Rattus norvegicus: one gene and its partners. The protein of the gene in region 5 interacts with the protein of the main gene of each other region in a pairwise test. Links are inferred from orthologs where the notes say so. Each region holds a gene or a part of one and is shown on either strand. Other genes may lie near its edges. The genes, in order: Klhl12, Adamtsl4, Casr, Pelo, Flna, Myoz1 and Hspb7.

Region 1 (3,500 bases), on a different chromosome or scaffold from region 5:
GAAACATATATAATAAAAATAAATAAATTCTTAAAAAAATAAAAGCAAATGAAGTACCACTTCATATATACTTCATAAATGATAATCTACAAAACAGCTGTACACAGTCACAGGGAGGCTCTCTTGTCAGAGAAGTAACAGGGAACAAGATAAAAATAGCCGATATTTACTCTGTGCCAGCTAGGTATCTTATCTGTGCTCCAATTCAGTCCTCCCAAAAACCCACTCAGAAGAAACTAAGCCTCATTTTAGGGGTAAAAGCATAGGATCAAATAAGTATTTATATATATATATATATATATATATATATATATATATATATATATATATATAGAGAGAGAGAGAGAGAGAGAGAGAGAGAGTGAGTCAGTCATTGGAGACAGGGTCTACTATTTAGCCCTGGATGCTTTGGAACTCACCATCTGGACCAGGCTACTCTTGAACTCACAGAGATCAACCTGACTAGGCCTCCTGAGTGCTGGGATTAGTGCTCTGTCCTATCCAGTTAGGATCAGATAAATTGTTATCGCCGATCACCACTGGCAGGGCTTAGATTGAACCTCTCTCTGTTTGCTAACATAGGCAGCACTTATGTGACAGTAGCTATTCCTAGCCTTTTCCTAGCCTTCTTCATCTAATTGTCATAACCTTCTTAGAGCTGGATGTGAAGTTGATTCCCAGGTCACAGATAAAGCATCAGCAGACAGAGTAAATTTCCTGCCTAAGGTAAGGAGTAAACCAGAAATCTGTACCACAACTCTGGCCTCATAGTCAGGATTTTACCCTTGATATGTGACTGTCAGAAGCCCTGTAGTTTTAGGACTGTGTTTGTTTGAGACAGTTTATCATGCTGGCTTCTGACTGTTTATGTGCCCAAGGATGAACTTACTCTTCCTGTCTCTACCTCCTAATTGCAGGCATTTACCACCATTTCTGTTGTGCTGAGGCTTGAACTCAGGGATAGGGAAGCACTAACAACCGAGCTACATTCCAGCTCCAAGCCCTTTATGTAAACGCTGAGGTAGAAATCTGATGCTACATAATATATGATAATTTGTAAGATGGTTTTCTCTTTATCTAACTGAATCTCTAATAGCTATGTGCCATAAAGACTACAGGAAATAAAAGCTTAAAATGGCAGCTACTTGCCTAAGGAGATTAAAATCAGGTCTGAAAACAAGTCTACTGTATGTATTACAGATATCACACTGTCTGAAAAAGGAGTAGAAAGACACCTCCAGGGGTTGGGGATTTAGCTCAGTGGTAGAGCGCTTGCCTAGGAAGCGCAAGGCCCTGGGTTCGGTCCCCAGCTCCGAAAAAAAGAACCAAAAAAAAAAAAAAAAAAAAAAAAAGACACCTCCATTCTGCCAGGAATACCAGCTTACCTAGTCGGGCTCTTGTCCTGGGTCCTTGCATCTGACTCCGAAGTTCAGGCCTCAGGTGAAACTTCTTGGCTTCATCAACTAGGTCCCTGCACTGTAAACTACAGCGGATAAAAGGCTAAAAGACAGAAGGGGACCAGGCATCTCTAACGTTGTAATAACAATGGCGCATATAAAGCAGAAAGTTGTGTATGCAGACAAAAGCATGTAAGGACTAGTACGAATCCTGAGGGAGCTGGCTTCACATCCCAGCTCCAGGACTTGGAGGATTTCTGAGACTTCAGGCCAACTCAAGGCTACATAGTGACTTCTGGGCCAGGCTGATCTAGAGGGAGACACTGTCTCAAAAAGACAAGACACATGTTCTCTCTCTCTTGGAAAAATTGTCTTCTCCAAAATAATTTCCCCAAAGCTATCTCTCTCCTTCCTTCCTTTGCTCCCCAACCCACTTCATCCTTTCTCTGCGACAGGTTCCCCGGTAGCCCAGGTTGATCTCAAACTTACAACAGGGCATAGGATAAGTTTTAACATCTGGTGTTTCTGCATTTATCTCCCAAGTTCTGTGTTATAGGAATGCATTCACCATTAGCCCAGCTCTCACATCTATATCCAATGGTGCTCTAGATGGGTGGGAGAAATGGCCCACTTTGGTAAAAGTCCTCCCATGTAAACACGATGACCCAAGTTCTGTCACAAGAAACCACATAAAAAGCTAGACAAGGGGGCTGGGGATTTAGCTCAGTGGTAGAGCGCTTACCTAGGAAGTGCAAGGCCCTGGGTTCGGTCCCCAGCTCCGAAAAAAAGAACCAAAAAAAAAAAAAAAAAAAAAAAGCTAGACAAGGTAGCCTATACTTGTAATGCCCCTACTAGTGGATAGACAGGCATATCCTTGGGCTTGTTGCCAGCCCAATCAGAAACTCCAGGCCAGTCAATAAGAGACTGCATCTCAAAAGCCAAGGTGGATGGTCTGAGGAACAGCACCAAAGACTGACCTCTGGTCTACATGTGCATGCCTATGTGCACATATACACATATACCTACATAGAAAATACATCTCTGTATTAGTGTCTACCTCCACACTGTACTTTGCTCTCTAGTTTAGAAAAACAGTCCCTATACACCGTGCCAGTAAGGTCTCCAAATGGCTCCTAGCTGGGAGGAGCTCTGCCCAAAGGCAGGCATGTCAAGGCCTACACTTTCCCTTCAGGCTCTGATACCCACTTCTTAGCTCGGCTAGACTGAGGGCTGGTGACAGCTTGGCTGTTCTAGAGCTATAGTCTCCATGGTCTTTTACAGTTTCTCCAAATGAATAAGTTTGTAAGCAGCTCTTTATATATACAGTAAGCCTTCCTTAGAACTGTACCATCTGCTTCCTGTTGGGATCTTCAACTCACAGTTTTAGTAGTTTGACTCCAAGAAGTTTTTAGTATGCATTGGAAATATACAACAGTAGCAACCACTGCTGTACACACATCTCTAAAAGCTTCTGCATATGAATACTGGCAACCATGTGGGTCCCTAGCCAGTGGTATAGTGTGGCCTACATTAAGGGCAGGCCTTACCACTTGAGTTAAACCTTTCAGAATCCCCCCTCACAGACAGACCAGTTGGTGTGTTTCCCAAATCAGTCTGCTGATAGTGAAGCTCATCTTCACGCCCTTTGTGTCAATCTTTACATTATATTTTGGTATAGAGATCTGGAGCTAGGATCTGGAGGCTGAAACCCTAAATCAAACTTTCCTTAGGAAGATGACCCACACCTAACCAAGGGGAAAAGCTCAGCGGGCACCAGCTTTTCTCTCCGCCTCCTGACTGTGGTACACATGACCCACAGCTTCATGGGTTTTCTGCCATGACTTCTTCAGGATGAACTATAACTTTCAACTGTGAACCAAGATAAACCCTTTCTTCCTTAAGTTGCTTTTGTGGGGTATTTTATCACAGCAACAAGAAAACTAACCAATAGAAGGCTTAAGAAAGAAGGGGAAAATGAGTTTGAGATGTGACATTAATTAGCCTGAATTTTTTTTAATTGGGGGGGAGGGTGTTCCAATATTTGTTTACTTGTTTGAGACAGGGTCTCATACAATCTAGGGTGGCCTTGAACTCTTGATACGC
Region 2 (3,500 bases), on a different chromosome or scaffold from region 5:
CCACTCCAGCTCCTGTCCCAGGCTCACATAGACATCCACAGGCTGGGTGGTAGGGCCTTCTGCTGACAGAGTCTCCCCCTTGCCCTCCTCCCGAGGAGGACGGTTATACTGGAAGACGGTCCCGACGGCCGCGTAGGATCCTGGAGGATCTACAGCCCAGTTCCCATTGATAATGGAGCGGCCACCAGGCCCTCGAAGTGCTGAAAGACAGAAATCTGAGCTGAGTGATCTTCCGAAGCCTTTGTGTCCAGAAATAAGGACCTAGGCCACCCACCTTCCTCACCCTCCACCAGCCCCTTCCTGCTTGGCCCTTTGCTCGGCTGAAGAGGGTGTAGAAGGCAGATCAGAGAAAAAGGATGGCCTGGGCCAGTTCTCACCAAGGTAATTGGAACTGGGTCGGAACTGGGAAATGCGAAGATGGGAGGCTCCCGCAGGAATCCACAGGATCTTCTGATAGCCCAAGGGGCCCCCTCGGTCAGTGAGATTCCCCGAAACGAGACGGCAGGTAGAGCCGTCACCCCCACAGACTCCACAGCCATCCGGACGCCTGCCAGAGCCAAGGATCCCATCACAGCCGGGGCTCTGAGGAGAGTGAGGTGAGGCAGGGGCCACACAGAAGCCAGGCACACCTCACACCTGGCCTACTCCACTCAGGGCCCTCAGCTCGGCCCCTGCTCGGCTCTTTGTGCTTTGGGTGAGAGTGTTCTTTGGGCCCCCAAGCACTTTTGGAGTAGTTTTAGCCGAGTCTGGTAGGATCCTGCCTATGACCCACCCTTACTGGCAGCAGAGATGTTCCCTCTGGCCACCTCAGTCAGGTGTTTTCACTCTTGTAACAAATTGGGGGGAGGGGCGATCTCGAGAGTGTGTGAGGGAAGGTGCACATATACAAACCTGCCCTCCCTCACCAACACCCTGCCCTCCCTCACCAACACCCTGCCCTCCCTCACCAACACCCTGCCCTCCCTTACCAGGCAGTGTCCAGCCACACAAATGTCTAGGGATCCAGGCTGACACAGGGTCCCATCCTGCACCTTTTCAGTGTGACGGACATAAAATCGGAAGCCACGGGGGCGGCAGTTCAGTTCACAGCGCTGGGAGCCTTGAACTAAAGGACAAGATATAGATTAATTAGCTGGGGGTCCCTCCGGGAAGAAGCACCCCAGAGCCCTGACAGCCATTCTACCTTTTATCATGTGTGAGGCTTCCTGAAGTTGGTGTGGAAGGAGGGAGGGGGAGTTTCCCACGCTTAGGGTTTTATGGCTTATATCTTTGTTATGCTGTGTAGTCTCGAGTTTACGATTTGACTAAGTCTCCCATTTCATTCTCCTAAAAAGGGAAAGTTTTGCACCTGGCCATCAAGAAAAGATTCTTGTGGTTTTGTTTTAGGTGTGTATAGGATTGGGGTGCTCACGTGAGAGAAGGAGGTCACCTTGCAGGAGTGGGTTCTCTCCTCCTACCATGGGTTCTGGAGACCAAACTCGGGTCATCCGTCAGGCTTGAGGCAAGCCCCTCTACCCACTGAGCCATCCTACCACTCCTCAAAAGGGTCTCCGACACCTACGATCATAGGCTCATAGCTCATGAAGGTTTGTCAGTGTGGAGTTGACATAGCCACAAGTCCAAGTGGACAGTAACTTGGGAGTAACAGAAGATAGTGTCCTGCTGGGACCAGTGAACAGGTCTCACTCATGCCCTGCCAGATCACAGCATCTTTTAGCCAGCTCCCTCCGCCAGCCTGCTGCCTGTCCTGACCATCCACCCATCGCTTCCCAGAAAACAGCTCCCTTCTCTAGGTCTGGGCTAAGCCTCTGGGGTGACCTGCAAAGTAGGACACCCAGGAGGGAGAGAGGGGCCACCCAAACCTGAGTCGCCCTGCCAGGGGAACTAGAAACTGCACCTTCGGTGAAGGGCTCCCACTGGTACAGCTGGCCCATGAATTCCTGGGAGTCAAAGGCGGCACACTGCAGGGCCCTGGGGTCTGGCTGCTCAGGGGGGCAAGGCTGAGAAGGCAGATATACAGGAGTCAGAGCTGCAGAGGAAACCTGGGGTGTGGGCCATGGCCAACGAGGCTTGGGAACTGGTTGGTCAACTCCATAGAACACCAAGGCGTCTGCCCTGAAGTCAGAACCACCACCCTGGAGTCCAAGTCTATCAAGATGAGGACTCGGGTCAGGGAACAGTGAAAGTCTAGGGTGCAAAACCTGGAGAACAGCTCACCTCTTGGCTGCAGGCTCTCATCTGTTCACTTTCCCCAGAACATTCTGGAGTGGGGCTACTGGGAGCAAAGAGGCTCCAGTGTGGGCTGGAGTCCCTTGTCAGAGGCAGCCAGCCATCTGGGGACCTGTGAGGACTCCCCGGAGGTCTCCAGTGCCTCCGGCTCAGCTGGCTCCGGGTGACAGGAGAGAAAGGATGTGGCTGTCGCTCTGCTCCCTGGGAAGTTGGCATTCGTGGCTCAGGGGATCCCTGGAAAGACCTACTGTCTCTAAAGGAGGAAGTGGGTGCAGGGATACCCATGTCGGAGGGAGCAGAACTGGTTCTGGAGGGCACTTCTGTCTGAGCAGTTCCAGACCTTGGAGTTTCAGCTGAGGGGGAACGGGATTGGGCACGCAGTTCAGGGGGCTGCATGTGGGGGCTGTGCTTTTCAGAGGCTGGTTCTGTGCTTGGAGGCTGGGATGGAAGTGTCTCTTCCGCTGTAGAGGAGTCCTTGGGCTGTCCAGGTTTGTGAGCAAGCCTGCGGCTCCGGTGCAGGGGCAAAGCAAAGGGCACTCGCCCGTAACCGAACATCCCTGGCTTGATAGGGTCTCGAACACGGAACCTGGGAGGATGTGTAGACTTAGTCACCTCTTCGCCTGTTTCCCCGGTCTGCTTCCTGAAAGACTGGCCTGCAGCGCTGGAGTCCCCTACACCTTTCTGTTAACCCCCATTCTGCTCTGCCCTCAGAGCCTCACCTCTGGGCCCCCCGAGGCTCCTGGGTCTCCTCTCTCCCCACTTGAGAAGCAGGACCTCGAAGAGGGCCACCCCTTCCCCGAGGCTGTGGCCTATACAGGGACTGGGGATCCCGTGGAGTCTGGGGTCTGGAACCCTGGCCCCGGGGCTGGGGGGCTTCTGGATGTCTTGGGGGTCGGGGAGGGAGGGACAGGGCTGGGTGCAGTTCACATGTTCGGCTCCGGCGCTGCACCCCCACCCCACAGGGCTGGGAGCAGGAGGCCCATCGGCCCCAAGGTCCCCAGAGACCCTCAGGGACCTGGTCCTCCTCTGATGGTGTCTGAAGAGAAGGACCCAACAGCTAGAGAGGGGAAAAGGTCAGAATTAGTGTCTCAAGGTTCAAGGGTTATTAGTTGTCCAAGGTCACATTTACAGGTAGGGTCAAACTCCAGCCTTTTTTGTGGTATTTGACTAAAAGAGAGGGAATCAGCAGGGAGACTGGGTGGGCCAAACCTGATACTAGGGGCTGAAGTCTCCCTGTGGGAATGTGAAGCCACCCCCAAGGGGAGGCCGGG
Region 3 (3,500 bases), on a different chromosome or scaffold from region 5:
TCTTCCCTGGAATGAGATATTCACAGTACACTGCCAACAAAGCCACAAGTAGCCATCCATGGCTCCTATAGATTTATCCTTGTCTTCTTCAGGTCTTGAAGCACCTACGGCACCTGAACTTCACCAACAACATGGGGGAGCAGGTGACCTTCGATGAGTGTGGTGATCTGGTGGGGAACTATTCTATCATCAACTGGCACCTCTCCCCAGAGGACGGCTCCATTGTGTTCAAGGAAGTTGGGTACTACAATGTGTATGCCAAGAAGGGAGAAAGACTCTTCATCAATGAGGAGAAGATCTTGTGGAGTGGGTTCTCCAGAGAGGTATGAGCAAAATGTACTACAGACAGGGAACTGCTGGCTTGGGAGGGTCTTGGGATTCATCAAAGGCCTTTAGGATAATGTCTTTTCCTAAGCTCCCCAGCTCTGGGTGTCCAGGGTTCCCATGAACTACAAGAGTGTTTAAGTGATGAGAGGAAGCCCCGGAGGCTAGGCTTCATAACTAACCATGCTTTTGACTCCCTGGCTAGTCATAAAGTTTCCCAGACAATAAACTTCCCCAACCATGGCAAAAATATTTAAGCAAACATCTCTCAAGTCAGTGGCTCTTAAATGACACTGAAGGAGACATTTTACCCACCTTGTATAGGAGATTCAAGTTTGAGATAAAAGGGACTGCTTTTTAGGTTGTCACAATGACCCGGAAGTAATAATGACCTTCATTGCTTGAGGTTCAGGGAGGCTAAATACCCAGCATGCATTAGACAATCTTTTATAGCATTTTCCATCCACCCCAATCTCCATTAGTCATGTAGGGATGTGAGCCCAAAATAGACCTGGATTCAGACCAAGGACATTGAAATAGCTACAGGCTGACCCATATAGAAATCGAAAGGGCCATTCCTTCTACTTTGGGAGCCCCTTAACCAAGGGGAAGATGCTTGTGACTCTGGTCAGGAGGTCCTGCCCATATCTGAAAGCCTGACTAATAACCAGAAGTTCACCACTCAGAGGATGCTCACTGAGAAAGACATAGGGTACGCTGAACTTTCTGGGTGGCTGTATGCTAATATACTGCTTAGGTTTTCTTTTGTCAAGTTGGCCCAGGTAGTATCATCTGGGAAAAAAAGGAACCCTCAATTTGAAAAAAAAAAAAAAAAGCCCCATCAGATTCACTTGCGTTTAAGTCCATGAAGCATTTTTGATTTAATGATTGATGAAGGAATTACCTGCCAATATAGCTGTTGCCACCCTTGGGAAGGTAGACTTGAGTTGCATAAAAAAAGCAAGCTGAGCAAGCCAGGGGGAGCAAGCCAATAAACAGCATCCCTCTATGGCCTCTGCTTCACTTCCTGCCTCAAGTTCCTGCCCTGGCTTTCCCTGGCAATGGACTGCAGCCTAAAGGAAAGGAACCATTTCCTCCTCAGGTTATTTTTGGTTCTGGTGTTTCTCACAGCAACAAAGATAAAATGAGGCTACTAGAATAGAGCAAGATGCGGCACCCTGGCTCCTCTGCAGAAGCAGCCTCGGGACCAGGCATCCTCTACAACATCCTAGGAGTCTGGCTGAGATCCACTACATTACTCTTTGCAGTGCCTTTCTGCTGAGGGTTGTGAACCTCTTTTTATGACAAAAAACCAAAGAGTCAGCTTGTTCTTATTGCCAAATTGCTTAATTTTCCCAGTCTGTGGGATGGCTTCACCATGGGGAGGTCTCCTGTGACAGTGAATCTCATCCACAATGGGCAAGTCCTCACCTCCATTACAACATGTGTCATGACCTTTTCAGAATGGAGGTTTGAGATTCCACAGGTTAAACTCTTACATCCACTAACTACATCTTTGTTTACTTTTCAAATGAATGGAGCCCAAACTGACTGGCGATCCCATCACTGGCACACAGCTATGGTGCTATCAGCTTATCACGTGTCCTCAGTAATGCACGCAATTATCCGTCACTGGGCGTGGCTCATCTCCCTTCCTCCTTGGAAGCTATTTCCTGTACAGTTCCCTGTAATCCTAACGTCCTCTATCAGGCAGTGGGCATGACAGATTAGTAAACGTGTGATAAAGACAGTCCTTACACATGCAGTCATTCATGTCCCTGACTACTTGACAGAATTATAAATTACATTTCAATTCTTGATGGGAACGTGATCTGAAAAGCTAGCACACAAATAGGTATCCAACAAACCCGGGAGTCAAACTGACTTCTGAAAAAGTTGTGGGAGCAACTACAAAAATACCATGTATGTTTATTAATTATATATTAACAATTTATTCACAAATCTCATGAAGTTGCTACTGAGATCAAGTGAAATCTAGGACTTTGCATGGTTTGAGTTTGAACCAAACTGTCAAGTACGTCCACACTTGGCCTTACCACCTTTTGCTTTTAAGGAACAGGACCAAGAAGCCTGGCTCTCTCTATATCTGGACTAGCCCAGAGCTAGCCACACTGATTCTTATACTCAAACTCCTCACTTTGCCTGTGTCAAAGAAGCTGTAAGACTGACTCTTGACACCCCAGTCCCAAACCTCTCATTTCTATGTTCTCTGCCCTCAGGTGCCTTTCTCCAATTGCAGCCGGGACTGTCAGGCAGGGACCAGGAAGGGGATCATCGAGGGAGAGCCCACCTGCTGCTTTGAGTGTGTGGAGTGTCCTGATGGAGAGTACAGTGGAGAGACAGGTAAAGGATCAGCCCCTCACAGTCCCTGTGCAGGACTTGGGCTGCCTTGGAGATCAGCAAAGTCCATGGGAAAGCTGGACAGAGCTGGTACTTAGAACCACTGACCTTCTAGGGAAAGCATGCTTAAGTACTGCATCCACTGAGCAGGAGATGATGAGAAAGGCCTCACCGGATATTGTTTTGATATTCCAGGTGTTTATAGACATTCATGTGATACTCTTTTCTCTGCCTCCAACCCTGCCACCCAATAGTGTGTCCCTATTTTAAAGCTCCATGGCTCTAAGTGGACAGTGTGCCATCTGCTCTGACTTCAGGACTCCAGAGTCAAGGCTGTGACAGATTGCCTGCTGGTGCCTGGTGTTATATGCGCTCTCTCTCTCTCTCTCTCTCTCTCTCTCTCTCTCTCTCTCTCCCTCCCTCCCTCCCTCCCTCTCTCTCTCTCTCTCTCTCTCTCTCCCTTCTTCCTTCCCTCCCTCCCTCCCTCCCCCCTCTCTTTGATGTTTTTCCTGGGTTTCAAGCTCATTTGTTTGTTTGTTGTTTATTCATGTGTGTGAGTGTTTTACTTGCCTGTATGTATGTATGTTGCGTGTAATTTTAAAATCACACTAGGTCCTTCCTCAGGGCCATGCACCTGCGAGCTTCCTAGCCTGCCAGCCCATACTTCACCTGGTTATCTCTTTATCCAGGCTAGCTTGCCAAGCCATTGCTCTGAGATTGCTCTCCCATCAGCCAATCACCCTGTGGCTAGCTCCACCAGTGTCTGTCCTGTCTCATTCAGCTCCAAACTGCCAGCTTGTGTTTTTCCCCGAGAA
Region 4 (3,673 bases), on a different chromosome or scaffold from region 5:
CTTTGCCACTCATCGGCCACACAGTAAGCAAACCACACACTTTCACCTCATCTGTAAAGGCCTGAGACTATGCTGAGAATCCTAGTAGATCAAACCTCTACTGTTTGAAAAAAAAATTTCTCTACAGAAAATAGATTAGAACAACAAAGAGCAAGAAGCACATATTTAAAATGATGTTTAACAAATCTCTAAAAGAAAATAACATTTAGACTGGCTTTTGTTGACCGTTTGGCTACCACTTCAAGTAGTGAATGTAGTTAAAATCTTGGGGAAAAAAACCTAGAAAGAGGTGAGAGAAAGGATCATGAAATGAAAGGCAGAAATACCACATTGAATGGAAATAGACATCAAGAGAGATTTAAATCGTTTTCAGAGGAAAACCAAGTCAAGCAGGTATATGGGGTTTCGTAATCAAACCCCCAAACAGCTTTTCTTTCTTAGATCCACAAATTGTTGTTTCCAGGTATTGACAGAACAGTAACTGGAACTAGAAGACATAATGCTTGGACATCGTTGTGGTTTATTTAATTGGAATACATGTCCTGCCAACCAAACCATAAAACACTTCATGGGAACCCATCACACATGAAACCCCAGCAGGACCAACAAGTGCGGCCTTGCACTTGTCAAGGATGCTGTAGAAGAAGAAACTATTGAGTTTCCGTCTTAATCCTCTTCAGAACTTGAATCATCCTCTTGGTCAGAAAGTTCCGGCACAGGGAAGCGGAGAATGGCAGCTACTCCAGTCAGCTGACCAAGCTGTTCCCCAGACACGTGGAGACTGGAGAATATCCTTACGGTGCCCGCATTCTCTTTCACACTGTCCACCAGCCTGACATACCGGCTCCGGGTGGCCACATCCTGATGCCGGAAGAGCTCATCACTGATGAGCAAGGTGTCAATCGCCAAGGCTTCATTGGCCCTCTCCACCTGCTTGAGTCCATAGAATGCTCGGTCAGGTTCGTGCTGTAACATTTTGTAGAAGTCATCCAAGGCTTTTACTTCCCCGGCAGCTTTCGTGTCTGAAAGGCGGCTCGCTACAGTAGGATCACATAGGACCTCTTTCAGGGAGTACTTGTGTCCAGAGGAGGCGTGTACCTAGAAATCACAATTATAAAAGACAAAGAATCTCTGAAAGTATCCATTTATCAGCCCCCCCCCCCGATGACGTAAGGGAAACGCATGAATACAGCCTACCCTGTTTAAGGACTTAGGCAAAGGTTGCCTTATGAAAGTGCTAGGTACTGCACAGTTCCGTTCTCGTTACAATCTCATTTATATTCCCAGCTAAGCCTTCTATTCCTCACCATTCTAAATAAAACATTAGAACCAGAACCGTTTACAGCAACCCCTCTGCCCACTCTTAACTCTCTCCATAGGAGTTTTACCTGAAGGAATTTGGAGCGGTTTTCCAGGAGCACCTTGTTGTCGGTCTTCACAGCTTGTTGAAACATGTAATCGCAGAACTGCTCTCGCACAAATCCAGGGCTGGCCACCAGAATGCACTTTACAACCTCAAAGTTTATGTGGCGCTGGATGGCCTGGACCACTTGTTCATAGAACCGCTCCAAGGCCCGGTCATGCTGGGAACAGTTGCCTTTCCGTTTCCTGGGGATGTTCACCTCCACCTTGGCACGGGTAAGGGTCATGCTGGGCGTGACTAAGCAGACATGGGCGAGGCCCTCCTGCATGACCACAGCTGCCACATCAGCGCTCCAGGCCGGGTCACATGCCTGCTCGATGCGTTCCAGAACCACACTGTCCCACTGTTTCTTGGCCAGGGTGAACTGGCGGTTGGGCTCCAGTTCGATGGTGTGGTAAGCCCCCATCTTGACATACTCATTCTCTTGAATATTGGTGCCCTTAACCCGCAGCTGGCAGGCCTGGGAGTCGAAGTCGATGGCCTCCACGCAAAGAGTGAGGGTGGTGCGGACACGGTTGCTCCCCACGCTGCCTGTGGAGGACTCGGTCTGGACCTTACGGATGGTGGAGGCGCGCAGGCTGTCGCCCACCTGCACTAGATTGTAGGTGTGCCACATGTCCTCGGGCTCCTCCGGGACGAGGGTGACCTGGCCCGCATTGTCCTTCTCGATATCTTTCCTCACAAGCTTCATGACCGCGGCAGGGGCTCACTTCAGAATAGGAGGCGCTTGGAAGCCCCCAGGCGGGAGGGGGCGGGGCAGGGAAGGGGCGGTGAGTTCAGACCGGAAGGAAACACTACCTCTGACTCCTGTAGCCCGGGACGGCGCTTCCCCCACGCCTTTTCTCCGTTTTCGCGCGCCGGCCCACGCGGCGCGGCAGACCTCACGCTCAGCACAGACAACTCAGGACTTCCAGTCGCGGGCCCCGCGCAAGAGGCTGACGCGACGATCGCGCAGGCGCAGCACGCCTCCCGGCGCACGTCTGTCACCGACCCTACCAGAGAGGCGGGGCCTGTGGGCTTGCGCGCGCGCGCGCTCACGCAGGCGCAGTAAACGGAAAGGCGAACCCTAGGTAAATGTCAAAGTAAGCGCCTCTGGCCGCCGCTCTTAAAAAGCTGAGCTTTTTCTCACACATCCCTGTGTGAGAGGACATACGGAGGACATGCGTGCGAACATGTGTATTTGAGCTGAGTTTGTGATTTTTCCACCCTGGGTGTGAAGCCAGCTTCAAAACTTATATGAAAGTGAAAAACGCCCGCCCAAAAGTGCAGACTTGCCTCCGAAGTCAAAAAACACGGCTTAGCCTTGCTTGCTCTTTTCCTACCCGCACTCGGACTGAATGACAAGCTTGTTGGCTCGGAGATATCCAGAAGTAGTTTCTAAGAATTAGTCCCGTTCAGCCTGGGCTCAGCAATATGTCCAGCTGTTTTCTGCGCCTCGTTACCCTGTTTGCACCATCCAGTTAACCCAGATGTTAAAGGACAGAGACCAGAGAGAGCAGAAACTATGCGTGGAATGTATCCCTGGTGGACCTCTGTGTAGTTTGACCTGGTTGATGTCCTGGGAATCCCAGAATCCAAAGTTGGCAGACTCAGCGCAGTAGTCTCTGGGGCGCTTAGTGTGGGAGCCGCATTGCAATAGATTAGCGTTGGATCTTCCCTGCCACTGATTGGCCAAAAGCTGAGGATGTGGGAAGTAAAGATAAACCGATCTAATATGACCATCTCCAAAGAAGAGCCACAGAATTGGTTGTAAAGGAAAAGAAAAAAAGAAAAGAAAAGAAAAACAAACAAAAAAATCCATTCCGTTCCCCCAACCCCCTTTGGTACAGTGGCGATTGAAATAAGAAGCCTCTTTCTAAAGGGGAGTCAGAGAAGTCCTGAACACACACTCTCACTACATTTTGTATACGGATCTTAAAGCAGAGCTCTTTAGCCTTAATTGATGAGAGGGAGGGCTAAAGGAGGGATTAATCATGTTAACTGATGTCAGGCATCTTTTTTAGAGGTTGGTGTGTGAGTGTGTGTGTGTGGGGTGTGTGCAACTTTACATGCTTTTTATCCTCCCCTCTCGCCCCCCCTCTCCCAACCCCCATCTAATTCACCATCTTCCTATCCCAGAGACCTGGAACTCACTTTGGTTTGTTCCCTCAAGGCCTTTCACCAAACCAGACACAGGTCTCACTAAAGCAAGAAGGTAGCTTCATAGGCTCTTAATGAATGCAAGCTTTTCCCCGGAGCACTATCAACGTT
Region 5 (3,500 bases):
GCCTGTCACATCTGGCACATAGGCCACTGTGTATGTGCCATCATGATTATCTTGGATGTGTGTCTTCTTGGGCTTGCCTTCAGGGTCCTATGAGGCAAAGAGCAGGCAAGGAAGTTGGTCCAAGCCTAGCAAGACCTGGACTATCTCAGGCCTTTCACAAATACGTCAAGTACTAGTATAACAGCGATATATAACAGGGATACAGCTTCTGGGCCCTTCATCCCTCATGGCCCCAGTGGCTGCCTGCCTGTGGCAGAGAGCAGAACTGAAGCCCCCCAAAATCCAGCATTCTCTGACAAGACAAGAGATATGACCAGTTTGGTGCCCAGGCTCAGCCCTGGGCCTATCCTAGGGCACTATGAGCTTATATGAAAGATCTCAAGTGTTGCAACATTATACCTGTTCTGTGAGAATATTGCATGTAGGGAATCTGAAGGGCTACAGGTTTTAATACCATACCTAATAGCAATGAATGTATGTTTAGGAAAGCTTGTTTCTTTCAACTTGAAGAAAATTGTACACATCCTAATGTAGTTACATTAACAGACCAGAAGCAGAGGCCCTGTCCTTAGAGCACAGCTCCAGACAGACTAGTTAGCAAAACTGAGCTGCCTGCCTATCTGTAGTCCTACATCCCAGCTGCCCAGACCTGGTTCCTTTCCTCTCTTCCCTAGGAAGCTCACCGTAATCTGGACAGCCAACAGACCCTCCCCAGCATCCTTGGCATCAATGGTGAACTCCACAGGCAGGCTGGCAGGCACACCAGTGGTGTTGAGTCCAGGTCCACTGGCCTTCACCTTACTGGCATCATGCGTGGGCAGCACCTTGACCTTGAAGGGGCTGTGAGATTAAGGGGTTATGAACCATCGGAAAAGCTTAAGTATGTAGTCTGCCCCCAACAAGCAAGTGAATGTGCTTCTTACCTCCGTGGCACTTCTTCTTCACCATACAGCACAGAAATGCTATAGGACCCTTCTCGGCTGGGCACATAGTTGACAGTCTGAGTACCATCAGCATTGTCCACTACATCCACTGGCTCCACCAGGCCTAGCCCCGGTCCCAAAGACAGACCCTTAGGTTGGCTCTTTGTACCCATTCCCACCCCCATCTCCCTGAAGGACTAGGGCTGGCCCCAAAGACTAGACCTTAAGTTTTTAACACCCAATTCTAGGAATTCCTTAGGCTTTCCCCCGTGCTATATCTAGTCAGTGGTCAAGTCCTGTCTACTATACCTTTTCTAGGGTTCTGCCTGATTTTGTGGTTACCTGAAACCCTTCTACTATCAGTGCTAACCCACATGCTACTGGGCCTAAAATAAATATGCCTCTATAACTCCCTGTTACCAGGTATGTGAAGTCTCACCTTTGGGCCCCTGTACTTTGACCTGCAGTGGGGCAACTCCGGCTTTGCTTGTGTCTACCTGAAAGGACTGAGGGAGGTTGGCACGGACCATGCCTGGGCTTAAGCCAGGTCCAGAACACTTGACTTTAGATGCATCTGTCACATCATGTACAGGAACCTTGAAGGGGCTACCTGGGGATTGATACAGAAGGATGATAGCTATGTAAGACACTGTGAATATGGCAGAGTCCTAGTTTCATCCTTGTCATCATCTTCTCACCTGGCACTTGGTGACCACCATAAGTGACGTTAAGGCTATAGGTTCCAGCTTCATAGGGGATGTATTCTACCGAGCAGCTGCCATCTTTATTATCCATACAAGACATCTTGGCCTCTGAGGGACCCTCAACAGCCAAGCCCAGGCCACCTGTGCCAGCTCCCCTGGTCCAAACAGACAGTCTGTCATTACTTAGGGTTCCCAAGCCCATTGCCTGCCCCTGCATCTTCAGTGGCTCACTCACCTAGTCTCTACTGTGAACTTGTTGGGTTTGTTGGTGGTACCACTTTGGATGCCTGGCCCATGGACACGCACCCGGGAGGGGTCACAGCCCTCTGTTACAGGCACCTGGAAGGGGCTGCTGGGTACAGGGCTGCCATCATAAGTCACATCCACGGAGTGTACTCCTGGAGGGCAGGACAGGTCAGGAAAAACTAGGCTTTTCCACTTATTCCCTGCCCTTCCTAAGGTACCCCCAGCACATTCATACCTTCCTCATATGGAGTATATTCCACTTTGTATGTGCCATCACCACAGTCTTGCACATAGGTATCTGTCAGATTGCCTGAGGGGTTGGCCACACGGGCCTTGACATGTGGCCCTCCAGTCTGTGTAAGAGCCCGGGCATCTACACTGAACTCAGTGGTTGCCTCTCGGAAGACACCTGGAAAAGGCCATAGCGAGGGGGCTGTGGCTGTAGGACTCTTTGCACCCTGTAACTGCTACCCACCCCCTACAGCAGGTCTCCTTACCTTGACCTTCAATCCCAGGCCCATAGCACTGTACGCCTGAGGTATCTACAGCAGGCTCCACCTGTAGCTTGCTGGGGAAGTTGGGCACAGGCTGGCCACCATACTTGATGGTAACAGTGTAAGCCCCAGGACAAAGAGGAATATAGGTAATGGTGTGTGTGCCATCACCATGGTCCTGAATGTATACTTCAGCTGGCAGTCCTGCCTCAGAGCAGATCTCAATCGTCAACTCGGCACTGCCAGCACTTGAGCAGTCTACTTGGAACTGCCCTACCTCACCAGCAGTAGCCCGCTCCAGCCCAGGGCCTGAGCACTTCACCTTGGATGCATCAAAACAAGGAACCACATGGGCCTTGAATGGGGATCCAGGAATGTGGGTGTCAGCAAAAAGGATGTTGATGTTGTAGTCCCCAGGCTCAGTGGGCACATAAGACACAGAGCATGTACCGTCCCCATTGTCCAGGCACTCAAGCTGTGCTTCACAGGGGCCTTCCACTGTCAGGCCCAGGCCACCAGTGCCAGCTCCCTTTGTATCAATGGTGAAGCGGGCAGGGGAGCCTGCATTGCCCCCCTGCAGCCCTGGTCCAAATGCCTTCACCTGAGGGAAGGAAGAAATAAGAAAGCAACTATCAGCCCAACCTTTCATATCTTCTTTTGCCCTAGGTTTCTTCCTTACCCAGAGACATGACAGGAATAGGCTGCCTAATAGGTCATCCACTCATCAATCATAAAAATAGAAATGACAAAGGTTCAGGAAAAATCTGGAGAAGATAGGGGACCCTAAGAAAGGAAAATAGGCTAGTCATGACGGTGCAAGCCTTTAATTCCACCCAGTAGAAGCACATGGATCTCTGTGATTTTGAGGTCCACCAGGTTTATAGAGTGAGTTCCAAGACAGCCAGGGCTAAAAGAGAGAGAGACAGAGACAGAGACAGAGACACAGAGACAGACAGAGACACAGAGGAGAGGACAGGGGAGGGGAGGGGAGGGGAAGGAAGGGAGGAAAGACGAGAAGAGGGGAGGAGAGGAGAGGACAGGAGAGGAGAAGAGAAGGGAAGGGAAGGGAACAGAGAAGAGAAGAAAAATGGGTCCTCCCCTTATAGCCTCCCAAAACTAATTACCTTGCTGGG
Region 6 (4,023 bases), on a different chromosome or scaffold from region 5:
CGACCGCCTTATCCAGGAGGTAGAGAAGAGGAGACAGAAAGAAGAAATGAAGGCTTTCTGGACTGGGAAGGGAAGCGCCACCCACCCACAGCTAAGTGTATTCTAAAAGAGATTAATTCGGGCACAGGGCTGTCTGGCTTACAAGTTTTTGTTTGTCTTGTGTGTCTTTTAAAAGATTTTTCAGAGATCTAGTTATGTTTAATATGTATGAGTGTTTTCTTTGCATGTATGTATGTGCACCATGTGCATGTCTGGTACTCACAGAAGTGAGAGGAGCACTCAGATCCCCTGGACCTAGAGTTACAGATGGTTGTGAGCCACCGTGTGGGTGCTAGGAACTGAATCTGGGTCGTCTGCAAGAGCAGCAAGTGATGTTAACCACGGAGTAATCTCACCATCGTGTGCGTGCGTGCGTGCGTGCGTGCGTGCGTGCGTGCGTGCGTGTGTGTGTGTGTATGTGTGTTTGAGACAAGGTCTCACTTTGTAGCACTGACTATTGGTATTCTGTCTAAGCTCCACCCCCACAGTTGCCTGGCAACAGCCAGCTGTGTTTGACACTATATAAGGGGCTGCTTGCCCCCCTCCTCCTTCTCTTTGCTCTTCTCTTCTCTGCTCTCTTTTCCTCTTCCCCTTTGTTCCTTCTCTCCCCATTCCCCTCCCCTCTTCCCTCCTGGTGCTCATGGCCGGCCTTTACTTCTCCCCTCTTCTACTCTTCTCTCATTAAACCTCTCCATGTGGAACCATGTTGATTTGGTCTACCCCAACACGGACTGGCCTAGAACTCACAAAGATTTCCTCGCCCTCGCCCCCGCCCCGCCCCCATCTCCTGAGTGCTAGGCATGCACCACCCTACACAGCCCATGAGAAGTGCTTTTGTTTTAATTTCATAAGAAGTTTTGATTTCATGGTTTAGAGTGAGAACTCAAGGGGACAAAGGGAACCATATATAGTGTTTGAATACTCGAGTGGAGAAAGAACACGGCCAAGGGGCATGGGCTTGGAGTGAAGGAGAACAAGTGAAGAGAACACCACAGACAGTGGCCATTGGAGGAATTACACCGGCCAGGGAAAGCCCATCTCTAAACGCAGATCCTTGTCCTCTCCTTTCTCTCTTTATTCAGTGAACTCTGACTCCTGAGGTATCAGGAGAACTTCACACTTGGTAACTCGTGTGCATCCCCAGGGAGTAGGGCTGTGCAGTTTCCTATTTTAAATGCTTACATAAGTTCCCTCGAACTTAGAAAGGAAAGAGGAGTTAACCATTCAGTGAGGCCTAGCCTGTGCCTCCCACAGGTTCACTGACCATGGGTCCTGTCCTGAATCTCAGCCCGGTGTTGTCTCCGAGTAATCAGTGGGAAGGCCTGGAGGCCACAGAGGGAATTCTGGTTCTTCCTGTCTCTTCCTCCTTGCTCTTCTTACCTCTCCCATCACCCCATCTCCCACACCCTCCACAGCTGCCATTCTTCTTGTCTTTTTCACTCTGACTTATAACCGGTCTTACATCATTTCTGCAGCTCTTGATTCAGGGATGCTCTTAAAAATCCTACATTTGGGCGCTCAAGCACGCCCTACCTCCAGTGAGCTCCATAATCAGTTTGCTTGACTTCCTCCTCTTGTTAGGGGCCGGGGTTCCCGAGAGCGGCATGGTGGAGGGGGATTTGACCTGGAAGGAGCAGGAAGCAGGCTTGAAAAAAGACAGGAAAGGGGAAAACAAGCATGTTCACTACAGTGAACTACTTAACTTGGGGTCGAGGACAAATTTTCTTCAGAGTTTTTCCCATGTGTTCATGTTTGCATGCGTGCATGTGTTTTCACAGTGATCTGTATCCCCAGAAGGTAAACGGCCAAGACTTCTGTTTTCTTTGGAAGCAGGACAGGAGGCGGAACTGCACCCCTTTCCTTACGTCTTACCGACCGGCTATGTTCGCTTTCCATAACTCCTGTATGGGCATCGGAAACACAGCTATGGCCGAAGGGGGTTCAAATACAACACTGGCAAAGCAATGCACTCAGGCTTCTTGGGCCTGGCATGATTTAAAGTCCTTGTTTGTGTTGGGATAGCAGGCTACAACTATGGCTCCAGACTCTGGTCTCCTGCTCAGGCTTCCATCAAGGTCTAAGGGGGTAGAGAAATGTTCTGCTAGTATTGAGGAGACTCAGCCAAACCCTTCTCCATAGGAAGGAGAAGCTGTTCTTCCAGGAAGCCAACTGGAACATGGCCCGAGAGGTCATGGGTGTGTTCCTTGCTTCTTCAGGCAACTCCTACCCCAAGCTGCAGAGCTGGGCCTGAGAGCAAGCTGAGGGCGTTTGAGCTGGGACAGATGTCAGCTCAGCAATATCATGCATGGGGGTAGAGAATTGTAGGAGGACAGAAACACAGGAATGAGATCTGGCTGTGGGTGGGGACAAGGTAGAAAAAGACACACAGTCCAGTCTCTCCCTAACAGTCCTGCTGTTTTCTGTGGTGTTCTGTCACACAAACACAACGACACTCTACCAACCTAGTGGCATCTCAAACTACCCCTCCCCATCTGTCAGGTACCTCCCCACACATCTTAATTCCTCCCAACTCCTCAGGTCCCTTTCTTTCCAACTCTGCAGCTCCAACTGGACCACCAGCAGCTGAGCAGAGATGAGAAGAGAGACCACTCCCTGAGGACGAAGAATCACGATTGCAAACATGGAGGTCACAAAAGTGGGCTCCAGCCCCTTCCTGTGGTAGAACCACAGACTTACCAGCCTCTCAGTTGGTGGTCAGCTCTCCCTGGGGTCCAGCAGCTTTGGATGACTGAGCTGCTGTGACTGGAGAACCTGAGCTGGGCAAGCGTAGGGGCAGCCCTGGCAGTGGGGGAGGGAGGGAGGGAGGGGGGTGGTTATTAATAGAGTCGATGAGCACAAGCAGCTCAAATGGCACAAACGGGGGCACTGAGACCCTGAGCCGGGATCCTGCCCTCCTTGCCTGAGGTTCAGGAAGAGGGAAGGCCTATGAAAATTCCCAGCAGACCGTCTGACCAGGGTTCAGTCAGCCGAAGCGGTGTGCTTCTTCCCCTTTGCCTTGAGATCCAAAGAAGCATCTCAGGAGGCAATGGACAGCAGAGGCAGAAAGAAAGGGAGCAGACAGTTAGTGCTGGGTAAGAATTAAGAGTAGGTATAGGGAAAAACAAAAAACGAAACAGAAAACATGATTTGTGGGCCACTCAGGCCATTCCAGACCGGGGCTGGAGGGACCCATGAGTGTATTCAGAGCTGGGAGGGATTGAGGCCCTACACTGAAGATAAGATGGAAATTTTCACAGCGGCATTGCTTCTAAACTTCCCGAATAGGTCGACTTTCTGTCTGAGAGCGTTAGATCTTGACCTGGTGAGGGGCCACCTTAGTCAACCCCAGTGCAGATGATGTGATGGAAGCCTATTAACCCCACTCCTTGTCTTTCCTCTCAGTACAGCTGTTCTCAACATGCGGGGCCTGACCTTCTAGGGCTGGACAACCCTTTCACAGGGTCAGATATCAGATATTTACATTACAATTCATAACAGTAGCAAAATAAGTTAGGAGGTAGCAACAAAATAATTTTATGGGGCTGGAGAGATGGCTCAGTGGGTTAAGAGCACTTACTGCTCTTCCAGAGGTTCTGAGTTCAATTCCCAGCAAGGACATGGTGGCTCACAACCATCTGTAATGGGGTCTGATACCCTCTTCTGGTGTGTCTCAAAACAGCTACAGTGGGCTGGAGAGATGGCTCAGCGGTTAAGAGCACTGTGTGGTCTTCCAAAGGTCCTGAGTTCAAATCCCAGTAACCACATGGTGGCTCACAACCATCTATAATGAGATCTGGTGCCCTCTTCTGGTATTCTTAATCAAATAAATAAATAAATCTTAAAAAAAAACCCAGCTACAGTGTACTTATATAAATTAAATAATTATAAAAAGAATTTTTAACTATGCCAGGCATGGTGGTGCATACCTTTAATCCCAACACTTGAGAGGTAGAGACAGTGGATCCCTGAGTTCCAGGCTAGCCT
Region 7 (4,180 bases), on a different chromosome or scaffold from region 5:
ATGTGAACCTCCTCAGGATTAGGGATGAGGGAAATCACAGAGAGGTCTCAAAACTCACAAAAACTCTGCCAGGGGGGCAGAAGGAGCCCTGTGTGGGCTGGAACAAACAGAGGCTTCCATAGGGGAGGGGGGAGGAGAAGAGAGAGAGAGAGAGAGAGAGAGAGAGAGAGAGAAGAAGGAGGAAGAAGAGGAGGAAGAGGAAGAGGAGGAAGAGGAGGAGGAGGAAGAGGAGGAGGAAGAGGAGGAGGAAGTGGTGGTGGTTCTTTGGGAAGGTGAAGATTTAGAGGAGTGTGTTCCAAAACCACTTCATGGGCTGAGGCCAGTTCCCCTTCTGAAAGAGCCTCCCCTGGCTTCTGTCCTGCCCAGCACCACAGAGTCTGGGCTTCTACTCATAGGCAATGAGAAGAAAGGAGATTCTTGGACACAAGGGTCTGGCACATCTGGATGGAATCCCAGTCATTCCGACATAGTTAGGTTCAGCCCTTCCTTTCCTAAGAGGCCACATTTCTTGGTCTGGGAACTTGGTCTTTTTTGAGCTGTGGAAGATCAAAGACAGTTCTGCCTGGAAGGGTCAGCAGTGGCCAGAGACACCCTGGAAGCCAGAGCTAAGACACCTGTCAGCGTTTTCCTTTACCTGAATATAAAGTCACGTGACTAGGACTCTAGGCAGGCAGCAGCTCTGAACTTGAGGTAGAGCAGACTGTTACCGGCAACTTAGCCTCTCAGCCTTTAAAGACAGTTACGGATGTATCTGCTCTTTCTCTGAAGCTGGGCCCAACCCCGTGCCCCACAGCCCCAACTCCAGATGCTAGCTCTCTTTTATTCTGCCAGTTATGGCCCCGAGAGTAGGGATGAGGTAAAGAATCACCAGTCCTTGTGGCAGTTGACAGGGGTCACCCACACGTTCTATCTCCCTTCCCTTGGCTTTCTCAACCTTCCCTAAGAGATAGCTGAACCTGGAGCTCCACGGAGCCCCGCAGGGTGCCTGTATGTACACACCCTCTCCTCATGAGTCTAATAAGGGAGGTGCAGGCCCTGAGAACCAGTTTGAGAGGAGAGTAGGGTCCCAGACTAGTGAGGGACAAACCACAAAGACCTAGGGGCAGGCACAGGGCAGGATCCACCCCCTGCTTTGGCAGGTACAGAGGCCCGTGGGGCTGGAGCTCTGGGCTTGGAGTGCCAGGCAGTGAGCTCAGCCCTCCAACCCTGCCCTCCTGTGTCAGGCTGTCAGCAGAGCCGTTTCTCCCAAGAAGATTTCCAGGCCCCTCTGGGCCATGAAGAGGCCTAAATTTAGCCAGCAGACAAGGGGCTGGCCTCGAGCCCAGGGACAGTTGGGCCTTATAAAGCGCTGGCAGTCAGGGGCCCCGGCACGCTTCTCTGGAGGCCTGCACCCACACGTTTCTCCAGCCCAGCCCCTGCCCGCCCGGACAGGGCCCCTGCTGCCTGTGGATGAGCCATCGGACCTCCTCCGCCTTCAGAGCGGAGAGGAGCTTCCGTTCCTCCTCTTCTTCCTCCTCCTCCTCCTCTTCTTCGGCCTCCCGTGCCCTTCCAGCCCAGGACCCACCCATGGAGAAGGCCTTGAGCATGTTTTCAGAGGACTTTGGCAGTTTCATGCTGCCCCACTCGGAGCCCCTGACCTTCCCAGGCAAGTGCTGGGGCTCTGAGGGGAGAGGAGGGGCACAGGTGAGGGACGTCTGCTCCAGGCCATTACTGAGCATACTGTGGCCACCCACCTACCAGGAATAGGTGCTGCATGGGTTACAGCCACATGTGGCTGCCAAGACAGACCTGGCTACCAAGACAGATGTGACTGGGAAACAGGTGGGCCACCTGGGACCCTAGGGATGAGATGTGATTCAAACAGTCCCACATGGCCAGTATCATAACGGGAACCCAGGAGGTTGGTGCTGGGACTGAGGGGCGACTGGCCCCTCAGAGCTTCCAGGTCTAGGTCTAAATTGCTAAAGGAGGGACTCGTATGCATAGACCACCTCACTCCATCCCTCAGGGACAAGGTAGGCTACAAGAGGGGCTGCTGTCTGGGAGAACCACTCATTTCCCCAAGAGACGAGCAGAGATCCGGGGGGTCTGAGGGTCAGGCTTGCTAGGTGACCAACTTACAAAGCAGCCTTGTCCACAGCCCGTCCCGGGGGACAAGGAAACATCAAGACTCTCGGGGATGCCTACGAGTTTACTGTGGACATGAGAGACTTCTCCCCTGAAGACATCATTGTCACCACCTCCAACAACCACATCGAGGTGCGGGCTGAGAAGGTGAGTCTGGCCCCTGGCTCACCCCAGAGTCCCCCACCTTCGCTCCTGCAATCTGATAGTCTAGCTGGTTCTGCCCGCCCTACTTGTCACCTGTCTTTTCAAGAATTCATACCCTGATGTGTGTTCCTTCCCTGTCGTACTCACCCAGGGCAAACTGCAGCCCTGTCCCTGTGGGCTTGAAGGTCAGGGACCTTTACACATCCCTCTCCAACCTAAGGTTCACAGGACCTGTCTTTGGGGGACATGCATGGCAGCCAAGGGCCGACTAGGGATGGGCGAGGGATCTTTGGGATGTGGGCAAGAGAGGAACCCAAGTGATTGAGACATAAGGGGGTGAGGAGACCAGGAGAGTGACCCAGGTGGAAAGTGACCGCAGTGGAGTAAGAACAGCTCCCTGACACAGGGTAGAGGAGGTGGCAATGACACACCCAACCTGGGTAGCATGGTCCATTCTTATCATATCTTTCCCTCGCCTTCATCCCAGAGCCAAAAGGGTGGGTCCTGTCTTGGCACCTCCATACTGGGCCTGAGGCTGAGGGTCACATCCATCCTATACCTCATGTACTTCACCAGAATCTCAGGGTGCCTAGCTCATCAGAGAAGGCATGGCCAGCACAGACAGCAGCTGCCACAGCCCTTAGGCAAGCCGTGCTGATTCTTAGAGGATATTTACCAAAGCTTTCTTGCCACCCCCAAGCCTGGCCGGCTCCCTTAACTCAGGCTGGCCACTGGGAAACCCTGCCAGAGGTTCGAGGACTGAGCCACTGGCTGCACGTGCCAGCCCCACGTCCCAAGAGTGACTCAGCCGGTCGACTCCACTGGACGCTATGTGCTAACTGGGCTGCAGGGGAGGGCGGCGGCCCTGGTCGGTGGACACTCAGGGTGCCTGGGGATCCAGAGGGCACAGTTGTGTCATCTCCCCACTATGGCTCGAGAGTCCCAGACTTCCAATCACTGCTGTAGCAACTCAGCCCCTATTGAGCCCCACCCAACCCCACTCTATACCCAGCTTCCCTCGGGACCCATAGAATGCCTCTGCACAGCCCTTGGCTCCTGGCCATCCCAACACCCCTGGTCAGATCTTTTGAGCCTGAAAGCTGAATCCCCCGTCATAGAGTGGGGTAACTGAGGACAGAGAGCAAAAGAGAGACTCTGGCATCACCAGGACCCAGGGTGGGGCTAAGGCTAGGGCAGCCATTCCTGACCTGTTATCCGTTCCCCAGCTGGCAGCTGATGGCACAGTCATGAACACCTTTGCTCACAAGTGCCAGCTACCAGAGGATGTGGACCCTACGTCGGTGACCTCGGCCCTGAGGGAGGATGGCAGCCTCACCATTCGAGCACGTCGTCACCCACACACAGAACATGTCCAGCAGACCTTCCGGACGGAGATAAAAATCTGAGGGTCTCCCCACCCCTGGCCTTCCCCCCATCTCCTCCCCCACTGGCCTGCTGGTGAGGTCGCCATGACCCCTGACAATGCCCCCCCCAGAACATCTCAGCCTAGGCCCCAGTCACTCCACACACTCTTAGGCCCCAGGTGGGTCACCCCTGTCCTCTCTACCCAAGGCAATCCAGGGACCCGCTTACCCTCACCCAGATAGGCCCTCCCTATCTTAGTTTACAATAGAGGGGCTGAGGTAGCCACTTGGGGAGCAACATGAAGACGGAGTCCGTAACACAGGGTGGCATCAATGGCATTTCTGCAGGGCAGGGGACCAGGGGCCCTCCCAGCAAGGGGAATATGAGAGACTGGCCACAAGCAGTGCTTCTGGCCCATGCAGACTGCCTCAGGGAAGGCAGAGAGACAGCCATGACTGTCACCTCCCTTGTAACTCTGGAAGCCTCAAACCCAGGGCTACCTGTCACCCTGAGCCTCTAACAACTACTTGTACCAGCAGGGACA

Evidence for each region.
Region 1: the proteins of Flna (region 5) and Klhl12 interact in binary tests that used the Homo sapiens proteins (3 or more experiments, as listed by UniProt). The two-hybrid records come from large-scale screens. The link is inferred for Rattus norvegicus from reciprocal best matches to the Homo sapiens genes FLNA and KLHL12.
Region 2: the proteins of Flna (region 5) and Adamtsl4 interact in binary tests that used the Homo sapiens proteins (3 or more experiments, as listed by UniProt). The link is inferred for Rattus norvegicus from reciprocal best matches to the Homo sapiens genes FLNA and ADAMTSL4.
Region 3: the proteins of Flna (region 5) and Casr interact in a two-hybrid assay, tested with the Homo sapiens proteins (2 studies listed by BioGRID). The link is inferred for Rattus norvegicus from reciprocal best matches to the Homo sapiens genes FLNA and CASR.
Region 4: the proteins of Flna (region 5) and Pelo interact in binary tests that used the Homo sapiens proteins (3 or more experiments, as listed by UniProt). The link is inferred for Rattus norvegicus from reciprocal best matches to the Homo sapiens genes FLNA and PELO.
Region 6: the proteins of Flna (region 5) and Myoz1 interact in binary tests that used the Homo sapiens proteins (3 or more experiments, as listed by UniProt). The link is inferred for Rattus norvegicus from reciprocal best matches to the Homo sapiens genes FLNA and MYOZ1.
Region 7: the proteins of Flna (region 5) and Hspb7 interact in binary tests that used the Homo sapiens proteins (3 or more experiments, as listed by UniProt). The two-hybrid records come from large-scale screens. The link is inferred for Rattus norvegicus from reciprocal best matches to the Homo sapiens genes FLNA and HSPB7.

What each region holds. Positions count from the first base shown.
Region 1 is NC_086031.1:48,468,765-48,472,264, reverse strand, and holds part of Klhl12 (kelch-like protein 12), read right to left. Parts: intron 1,501-3,500; coding exon 1,386-1,500; intron 1-1,385. UniProt on the Homo sapiens protein: Substrate-specific adapter of a BCR (BTB-CUL3-RBX1) E3 ubiquitin ligase complex that acts as a negative regulator of Wnt signaling pathway and ER-Golgi transport.
Region 2 is NC_086020.1:185,929,297-185,932,796, forward strand, and holds part of Adamtsl4 (ADAMTS-like protein 4 precursor), read right to left. Parts: intron 3,287-3,500; coding exon 2,949-3,286; intron 2,816-2,948; coding exon 2,218-2,815; intron 2,001-2,217; coding exon 1,898-2,000; intron 1,106-1,897; coding exon 969-1,105; intron 583-968; coding exon 378-582; intron 201-377; coding exon 28-200; intron 1-27. UniProt on the Homo sapiens protein: Positive regulation of apoptosis. May facilitate FBN1 microfibril biogenesis.
Region 3 is NC_086029.1:77,803,114-77,806,613, forward strand, and holds part of Casr (extracellular calcium-sensing receptor precursor), read left to right. Parts: intron 1-92; coding exon 93-323; intron 324-2,564; coding exon 2,565-2,688; intron 2,689-3,500. UniProt on the Homo sapiens protein: G-protein-coupled receptor that senses changes in the extracellular concentration of calcium ions and plays a key role in maintaining calcium homeostasis.
Region 4 is NC_086020.1:48,530,402-48,534,074, forward strand, and holds Pelo (protein pelota homolog), read right to left. Parts: upstream 2,270-3,673; 5' UTR 2,115-2,269; coding exon 1,389-2,114; intron 1,099-1,388; coding exon 667-1,098; 3' UTR 501-666; downstream 1-500. UniProt on the Homo sapiens protein: Component of the Pelota-HBS1L complex, a complex that recognizes stalled ribosomes and triggers the No-Go Decay (NGD) pathway.
Region 5 is NC_086039.1:157,168,844-157,172,343, forward strand, and holds part of Flna (filamin-A), read right to left. Parts: coding exon 3,492-3,500; intron 2,969-3,491; coding exon 2,371-2,968; intron 2,283-2,370; coding exon 2,109-2,282; intron 2,026-2,108; coding exon 1,863-2,025; intron 1,783-1,862; coding exon 1,622-1,782; intron 1,534-1,621; coding exon 1,363-1,533; intron 1,048-1,362; coding exon 924-1,047; intron 841-923; coding exon 684-840; intron 88-683; coding exon 1-87. UniProt on the Homo sapiens protein: Promotes orthogonal branching of actin filaments and links actin filaments to membrane glycoproteins. Anchors various transmembrane proteins to the actin cytoskeleton and serves as a scaffold for a wide range of cytoplasmic signaling proteins.
Region 6 is NC_086033.1:3,692,390-3,696,412, reverse strand, and holds the start of Myoz1 (myozenin-1), read right to left. Parts: upstream 2,801-4,023; 5' UTR 2,737-2,800; intron 1,685-2,736; exon of another isoform or gene 1,664-1,684; 5' UTR 1,646-1,663; coding exon 1,573-1,645; intron 8-1,572; coding exon 1-7. UniProt on the Homo sapiens protein: Myozenins may serve as intracellular binding proteins involved in linking Z-disk proteins such as alpha-actinin, gamma-filamin, TCAP/telethonin, LDB3/ZASP and localizing calcineurin signaling to the sarcomere.
Region 7 is NC_086023.1:159,009,379-159,013,558, forward strand, and holds the start of Hspb7 (heat shock protein beta-7), read left to right. Parts: upstream 1-1,380; 5' UTR 1,381-1,449; coding exon 1,450-1,645; intron 1,646-2,140; coding exon 2,141-2,274; intron 2,275-3,497; coding exon 3,498-3,677; 3' UTR 3,678-4,180.